Linked DNA regions of Bombyx mori. The protein of the gene in region 1 purifies or fractionates together with the protein of each later gene. This does not show direct contact. Links are inferred from orthologs where the notes say so. Each region holds a gene or a part of one and is shown in the gene's direction. Other genes may lie near its edges. The genes, in order: ribosome biogenesis protein WDR12 homolog and ribosome biogenesis protein BOP1 homolog.

Region 1 (4,439 bases):
TAGTCTACTACTACTTTTGTTGTGGTTACCACTACATCTATTGTAGGAAGTAATTTTGAAGAACTTGTCAAAATTGGGCATTCGTTATTCGTTACCTGAGAATTTATTTAAGAGAGTGTACTACAAAGTGTACCTATATCAAGCTCAAAACTTATGAGTGTTCTGTGTTTGACCCATGATTCAGCTGTTAATTTAATGTTTCTTCAGGTTGAAATGAGTAATGACGAAGGTTTATAAGCTATTAAGAATCTGTGAAAGTGCATAAATGTAGGAAAACGAAACAGAGCCGTTGGATGTAGCCTTTCGGAATCTTCCAACAAGTCCACTGAAAAAGTTTCTGTAAATAACCAACATTTTAATGAGATTATATTTTATTCCACATTAACTTGCTTCATTTAATTTTATCTCAGTTGATTAATATAGACATGTGTAAGTAATGCGAGTGATATTACTCCGGTAATATTACTCTACGATGTAATGCAACATCACACATTACGCGAAGGAAACAAACATCACACTATCACTCAATATGTTTCTTTCTTTGTCGTGTAATGTTGCTTAATACACGAACGGAACCGAGCGAGCGAGACAGACCGATCGACCAAAATAAATGAGCAAGCGACATGGAATTATTCCTAGTGATTTTGAACCGTATGCCCTGGCCGCTAGGTACATTTTTATACCTATGGTACGTCTGAATTTTAATATAGGTATTTGTGTTTATATTTTTCATGCGGCCAGCCAGTAGTTCCCCGCAAGTAGTTACTTAATTTTTAATTCGCAACTTTTGTAAAATCGCTAGTCGCTCGTAATTGTTTAGTAATATTTCATATTAATTTCTGTGTTTGAATTACTTAAGCACTTGTATGAAGATAGTTTTATTATTTGTTTTAATGCGTGTTTAATAAGTGAAAGAAAGAACGGCGTCTAAATGAAAGTACAGTCCTCCTTGGATGCACTTTGAGGATATCGCGCCGAAACAATGCATCTACTGCTCTCGTATATTAACATTATTGTCGAGCTCAATTTGCAGTCTAAGTCGCCATATGAAATCCGTTCATCCCACAATAAATTATATTAAGTAAAAAATAAAATTATTATATTATTAAGTAAGTCAATCTCTGTCAAGTAATATAACAGTGTATTACAATACAAAGTTCATACTTTGTATTGTAATACACTACTGTAATGACACACCCGAATCATTACTTAAGTGATGTGTTCATACACATCACTTAAGTAATGATTCGGGTGTATAGATACAATGTACTCGTCGTCACAGTATCTATTGAACGCACCGAGTAATGTTAAGAGTGATGTGTAATGTTTTCGAGTAATATCACCTGTCCGTAAAAGTGATGTCATATCACATTACATTGGCAAGTGATGTTTTGCGCAAGTCTAGATTAATATCTCAAATTAATCAACTTCACTTCATTTCACTCCATATCATTTTTCATGAAAGAGAATAAAATATACAACATACAAAAGATTAGGATGTAACGTTAAAAATTTAGGATACCTTCGCCTTTTTACTTGGAAAAGTGGAACTACTACTGTCAGATGTCAGGTTTGGTGAAAACTGAAAACTGTCAATGAGAATCCGGCGTGTTATTAGTTTAGATTCAGGTCATTTCAGGTTGTGTAGTCTTCATTTATATCAATACCAAACTTTAACACAACTTAAAATATTGTAGTACAAAATGTCTGGCGATGCTTTAGAAGCTCAATTGCAAGTTAGATTTATAACTAAACAAGAACAGTAAGTTTTGCACTTGTTTTGACATGTGGTCCAATAAAGTACTTCGCTCTAAGCCGCCTATATTTTATGCAGATATGCAGTTCCGGATAGTCCTTACGCTATCCAGTGTAACGTACACCCTGCGGACCTTAATACCTTAATCAACGCAATTTTGAAGGAGACCTCACCATCGTTCGAGAAGGCGGTAATATTTGATTTCTTAGTATGTGGAGAGTTACTTTGTGCCTCCCTCGCAGAGCACTTACAAGAAAAAGGGGTATCGACAGAGGACACGCTTGAGGTCGAATACTTGGAAAGGTTCCCTGCACCAACTCCACAGGACTGTTTAATGCACGATGATTGGGTGTCAGCTGTTCAGGCACACAGTAGTTGGTAAGATGAAAACAAATTTAGATAAAATCAAATTATTTATTTATATAAATAAAAGTTAAATGTAAAATCTTACAAAATAATGTGTAAAATAACAAATCTCATTTCATCCAGGATTCTATCAGGAAGTTATGACAATAGCTTACATATATGGAGCACAAAAGGACAACACAAACTAGCCATACCAGGTCATACATCACCAGTAAAAGCAGTATCATGGGTGTCCTTCCAGGGTGATCAAGCTACATTTGTTAGGTGAGAAATTGAATAGATAGTAATTTGATAAAAATATTTGATATAAAAACATGTCACATTGACAAATTTAAGTTAAATTTAAATGTATCTCAGTATTATTTAGTTAGTATATTAAAAATGTATACTACAGATATAGCATAGCAGTTATGATCTGACAAAATTAAAATAGATAATTTATCATAAATAGAATGACAAAAATAATTAAATCCTGAAGATGTATACAGAAGGTTTTTTTTATTTTTGGAGTTTACTCCTTAAGAATCGATTTACATATATAGGCCCGGGGTATGAAAATTATGGGGACCAAAATCGTACTAGAGAGTATAGCATGTCACACGAAATGCGTTATGCGCCTGATTGGCTGATGGTGATGCGTGCGCGCGCCAATCAGGAGCCAACGCGCGGCCGCGTTATCGCAGGTGACGCCGGGCTGCTGCGCCGGCAGTCCGCCACAAAGCCTCGTACTGATCGCGCGTTTCTCTCATTATTGTATTTTCATATATTTGTTAGTCGTTTGTTTTGTGTCTCGTTAATTTGTTAATAATCTGTAGTGTATCGTGTTGTCGTAATATAGAACTATTTCTCGTATTGTTTCGTTTAATTTACCGACATCGTTTTGCTTGTGGCCGGACGCCGTTCGGGTTCGATTCCTGAACGTATCAACTGTTAGTGGGTTGATACCCGAATATAACCCGCTACAAATCATTTATTAATAAAGCTTATTAAATATAAACAATTCCTTCTATCAGTGAATGGACAACTTATATATTAATTGTAAAAGTGAATTATATAGACTTACTTAATTACCGCATCCACGTGTTCCGCAACTCCCGGATCATTCTCACTAGAATACGTAACTTCCATATTTTACTGTATTCAACTGACACAAATTTATATTTATATCCAGTAAACTCCAGTCGTGCGTCGGAGCGGACACACACACTTTTTTTTATTGCTTAGATGGGTGGACCAGCTCACAGCCCACCTGATTTTAAGTGGTTACTGGAGCCCATAGACGTCTACAATGTAAATGCGCCACCCACCTTGAGCTATAAGTTCTAAGGTCTCAAGTATAGTTACAACGGCTGCCCCACCCTTCAAACCGAAACTCATTACTGCTTCACGGCAGAAATAGGTAGAGTGGTGGTGCCTACCCGTGAGGACTCACAAGAGGTCCAACCACCAGTAAAAATGATATGTAGGTATGTATGATTTCAGTGGATCTCATGATCAAACAGCAATACTCTGGGTATGGAATGTACCTAGAAATTCTGTTGACTGTATGATCACTTACCGTGGCCACGACAAGGGAATTGAATGCCTGTCTGTGTCGGCTGATGGTAACCGTTTTGCAAGTGGGAGCTGGGATAACAATGTTTGTCTTTGGAGTGCAAGTGAGTAGATACTTAATAATAATTTAAGTGAAAGGACTTTTGGAAGGCATTGCTGACGTCCATGAGCGATGGTGACCACTTACCATCAGGTGGGCCGTATGCTCGTCTGCCTACAAAAGCAATAAAAAAATATATTGAATCGATTTAAACCCTAGTTGCAATGTTTGTACAGCTATATTATAGGTCTCCTTTGAGATGACAAGTGGAAAAACAGCTATGTGGTCCTCGAGAATAAATCAAATGTGTATTATATTGGTTTAGTTGTTATTTTTAAATTAGTTTTTTTGAATGTACATAATAAATAAAATATGCATATTTACCCAATTTAGGCTTAGCAGAAGAAGAAAACCATCCAGCTACGAAGAAAAGTAAACCAGAACACGGCACCACTAGAGTGAGTATGAATTGAATGAAGCAGTCCTATAACACCTATACTTGTGTATAATAGATATTATAGGACTGATTTTTTCAATTGACTATAGTAGAATTATTTTGTCCGTGCAGTTTGGGTCATAAAACATAGCCTGGCTAGGGCGGCGAGCATGTTGCGCGGGAGCAACGCCATTATCGATAAAAACAAATGAGTCATCGAAGGCAGGTACACGGAGGTGGGGTGGTTTACGAAGGGTGGTGAGACATTATGTTATGAGTCATTTGTT
Region 2 (4,578 bases), on another chromosome or scaffold:
AAAGATTATTAACTCGTAAACCTGTATTATTTTTCATCTAGAGAAAACTCGAATACAACGATAAGTATACAAGTAAATCCTATCAAGGAAAACCTCGCAACACTTACCACGTAAACATAAGCAATTTAAGTATAAACCTCAAAAAAATAAGAAAGAAACTGATAATAAAACATCTGCAAATCAGAATAAAGAGGAAAATGAACCCCTGCAGAAGCAGAGAAAAGCACATGAGCAGAAATCGTATTCCTATACAGTCAGATCTAAGGTACATCAAAATAATACAATCCATCAACCAGACTCTTATAAAGTCATAGAACAAATGTTTATAAAACAATCCCAAAAGATTGCTACTGTACTACAGCAAATGAGTACATTACTTGAACTCATTGCAGTACTAGCCTCTAAGTTAGTAAAATGACTGCACTAAAAATAACTACATGGAACATCAATGGCTTGGCACCCAACATCGATGAAGTGGAAATCCTGATCTGTCTACATAGTCTAGACATTCTCCTAATTTCAGAGACACATGACGACCAGCAGCTCGATAAGAATTAAAGGATATAAGATCTATTCCACAAATCATCCAGACGGTACAGCCCACGGCGGGACAGCAGTGATAATTAAAGCCACTGTTAGACACCATGTGTAACCAAACTACTGTACCGAACATATCCAGGCTACCACAGTAGCAGTCAGTGACAGAAATGGAGACTTTAATATATCATCAATTTATTGTCTCCCAAAACATAAAATAAGTGACACTTTTCTGACCACTTTGTAAGCTTGGGCTACAGATTTATTGCTGGGGGTGACTGGAATGCGAACCATTCGCATTGAGGCTCTAGATTAATAACTACACGTGGAAGGGAGCTGAATAAAAGTGTAGATAAACAGTTCTTGACTACTGTCTCAACTCCGGAACCAACACACTGGCCCACAGACCAGAACCGACTGCCAGACGTTTTAGACTTCTTCATCACAACAGGACTGTCTCGACTTTTCTTCAATGTTGAGTCATGCCTCGATAGCTCATCTAACCATATTCCAGTTGATTAATGTCTTAAATTAATCATCTTCATTTTATTTCACTCCATATTATTATTATCATTTTCATAAAAATAAGCATATAAAGGTAGTTTTCCAATTACAGCACTAGAGCGCATTATGTGGCATGATGCTCAACGTTGAATGTTCCAACTACAGCAACGCTTCGCATAATCGAGCACTCAAAAGTACTGCTCTTGCGTGATACTCGCAATCGATACCAACTCAGTCTCAGAAAGCTGACAAGTGTTTTTTCTTTAAGTTGGAATTGATCGAAATTTTGTTTATATTATCGTTAGTAATATTATTTATTGTTGAAAAAATTTGTAAGGCTTTCGTTTCGTCGTAGTTTCTTGGAAATGTTCAAAGTTAATTCAAACTGTACTAAAAAAATAAATGTAAGTATGGATGAAGTTACAAATAATTACTTTTTTTTATATTCCACATTTAAAATGTGAATACAATTTCATTTTAGAATTCCAATCTGTAAACAAATTTATTTTACAGGAATATACTTTTGAAAACATTGCAATGGCTTGATCGAATCATCATCATGAAATTAGCGCACTCTGCTGATGCATTTGAAAACTAATTCACGTTCCAATTAAGCTTCAGAATAATTCAGCATTGTGTGCCACTGAGTCGCATTATACTCTAATTGGAAAACTACCAAATTAAAACAAGGCATGACTTAAAAGTTTTAGTTACCAGGTCATAAAATCCCTTAAAAAATCAACTGTCAATGTCAATGTATGCCGAATTGCCGTAGTAGTATGTCAAAATAAAAGCGCAGCAATCAAACACACGTGTTTCTGCAAAATCGCTGAATATGTTAATTTAATAAAAATGCCTCCTCTAAAAGCTGGGTTAAGTTTGAAAAGAAAAATAGAAACAGAAAATAAGGTTGAATCTAAATATGAACAAGAATCATCTAATACTAAAGTACGTTGCCGCTTTGTTAAAAAGCTTTTTAAACTTTTTGCTACCAATATTATATTTATTCTTTTTAATTTACACTGTATTTTTCAGGGGCTAGAAGAGCTTACTTTGAGTGAATTGAATATAGAAGGTGATTCTACGGATTCCGAGCATGAAGGAAATGAAGAAGGCTCTGATCAGGATCAAGATGTAAGAATTGTTTTACTTTCTCAGGAATTAATTTATAATCAACCTTAAACGTAGTTGGTTTTTAAATATTGCCTTGTTAATTCACAGTTCACTTTAGTCTTAATTCAGATGCCATAATGTAAACAAACATTAGTGCCACCTACAATAAGACAATGTTGAAGTTTCTGTTTTATTGTATCATAAATGTCCCCCACTTCAAGCCTGTCTGCATGGCAGCTTTGTAACAGTAATGGTTTTGCATATGAGTGCAGGCCTTACAAATCACCCAGTCACCAGTAATCGGTATTGTTTGTTTGATTTTTTATGATTACAAGATTTCTACTGATGATGATTAAATCTGAGCTACAAGTTTCCTTAGAAAAATTGATATCTGACTGCCGAATCTTAAACTTGGTATATTCATATAATAATATGAGTAAACTAGGTACCTCATTTTAGGCCACCAGGAAGGCCAATTGGATGTGGAAAACTACAAAATGTTTTTCTTTTAATAATATCATATACACACCTAACTTAGGTGTGTTAAATTCAACAATTTATCCTTTTATTGTTATATGTGTACAATATCACAGTGCAAGAAGTGACTTTCTCGTCCATTCCCAGCTTCTAGTTAACTAACTAACTTTATTTCAAAATATTTCAGGAAGTTTTGTTTAAGGACAGTGATGTGTCTTCCCTTGAAGATGAAGATGTTGAATATGCTTCAGATGAATCGTCTGTGAGTAGGTTATTTTTGTATTACACTATAATACTATTAACCAAATTAAAAAGAATGCAGACTATTTATTGATGTACAAAACAAATTACAATAATTATAATACATACTACCTAAATCATACAAGTAGTACCTAGATCTAATCTGGATTGCAATCTAAATAGTATGTGCACTCAGCAAAACCATATTAATGTGCATAGCTTTGGCTGTTGAAAACACAATTGAAATTACAAATATTGATAACTAGCTATTGTTAAATAGGATATCCTTCACACATCCGACAAATCCCCTGAGTCTAAGTTCAAAGATATCAAGGTTACCGTGACATTTAGCCAAATTATTATACTGCCTGACCATTCTTACCATAGGGTTATAGTTTGATATATTATATTTATATGTCTGTAACGCAAAGAGGTTTACGAAATGCAAATTCGGGGCTCTGAAGTTGGTGTTGTTGTGGTTTTTATGTACTCTTACAGATATCGGTTACTTCTGGACAAGATTTGAAATAATTTTTTTTTAGTTAGAGCCCTACCCTGGATTTATTTGTTCAATTGGTTTCTTATGTTTCATTTGTGAAGAGGTTTTTATTTAAATTACAGTCATTTTATTTGCTTGAGCTGGTATTCTACGAATCCCCATGCGCTGGTCTGATCAGGTGAAAGATCTTACTGAAACCCCACTTAACGAGTGCGTGCGCCAAGCCTCAGCTCGCAAACTATGGAAAACATCTGTCAAGGCTTTAATAAACAAGGTTTCCACACGACCACGACTGCTCTACCAAGAGCAACCGACTATGCTGATGGTAGCATACAAAATAAGTACTGGTTGGGTGCTTTAAGCTTTCAAGATTTCTAGCTAATTCAGTGATCCTGTTAGTTACTACTGATTCCAAGGTTTCTGTCATGGTCTTTTAGATGTAACCTTGTACAACTCACACACCACTGGCCTTGAACAGCAATGAAATGTTCTTTTTTGGAGCCTTGACATCTTAAAGACTTCTGTTGAAGTTACTAGGTTAAGAAATCACAGAGGGACTGCTTTTGGTTTTCGTTTTTCATAGGGGAGCTTGTGATGGTTCCTGCTCTTAATGTTCCTTTAGGAAACAAAAAACTTATTGTCTTAAATTGTGTCCCATTGCTTTAAATTGTAAAGCTTCATATGATACTTATGAATTTAAACTCAAGCATTAACGCTTTTAGAGTATTTCATTAAGTATCAACAAAAACTTTTAGGCAAAATCTTTTCTTATAGGAGTTAACCGATTCAGAGGCTGAAGGTGAATCTGTGAACAGCAATGATAATAACAATGCAGAAAGTGAAGATAGTGACACAGAAAGTGATGCAGAATCTGGCATTGGACACACTCATGGCTCCAGTGGCAGTGAATCTGAAAAACAGACTTTGAAAAATAAACAAAAGAAAAAAATAGCAAAGCAAAAAATTAAAACGAAGAAACCAGATAAAGACTTAAAAGAAAAGTCACAAAATAAAAAAGGAACCACTTCTAAAGGCAGTGTGGATAGACTAGCTGACGTCATTGAGGGATCTTCACAAATGCAACCTGTCGAACAGAAAGGTAAGTTTTATTATAGGACATCTCAGGTTCTCAGGTTTGGGTTATTAATTACACTGTTGGTAGCTGATAGCAATTTTTACCGGTGGTAGGACCTCTTGAGAGTCCGCGC

The links.
Region 2: the proteins of ribosome biogenesis protein WDR12 homolog (region 1) and ribosome biogenesis protein BOP1 homolog purify together in Homo sapiens (affinity purification with western blotting; 6 studies listed by BioGRID and IntAct, with this or other methods). This does not show direct contact. The link is inferred for Bombyx mori from reciprocal best matches to the Homo sapiens genes WDR12 and BOP1.

What each region holds. Positions count from the first base shown.
Region 1 is NC_085114.1:8,374,248-8,378,686, forward strand, and holds the start of ribosome biogenesis protein WDR12 homolog, read left to right. Parts: upstream 1-1,410; 5' UTR 1,411-1,703; coding exon 1,704-1,762; intron 1,763-1,834; coding exon 1,835-2,134; intron 2,135-2,245; coding exon 2,246-2,386; intron 2,387-3,604; coding exon 3,605-3,780; intron 3,781-4,109; coding exon 4,110-4,174; intron 4,175-4,439.
Region 2 is NC_085124.1:480,836-485,413, reverse strand, and holds the start of ribosome biogenesis protein BOP1 homolog, read left to right. Parts: upstream 1-1,504; 5' UTR 1,505-1,893; coding exon 1,894-1,989; intron 1,990-2,076; coding exon 2,077-2,175; intron 2,176-2,818; coding exon 2,819-2,893; intron 2,894-4,144; coding exon 4,145-4,469; intron 4,470-4,578. UniProt on the Homo sapiens protein: Component of the PeBoW complex, which is required for maturation of 28S and 5.8S ribosomal RNAs and formation of the 60S ribosome.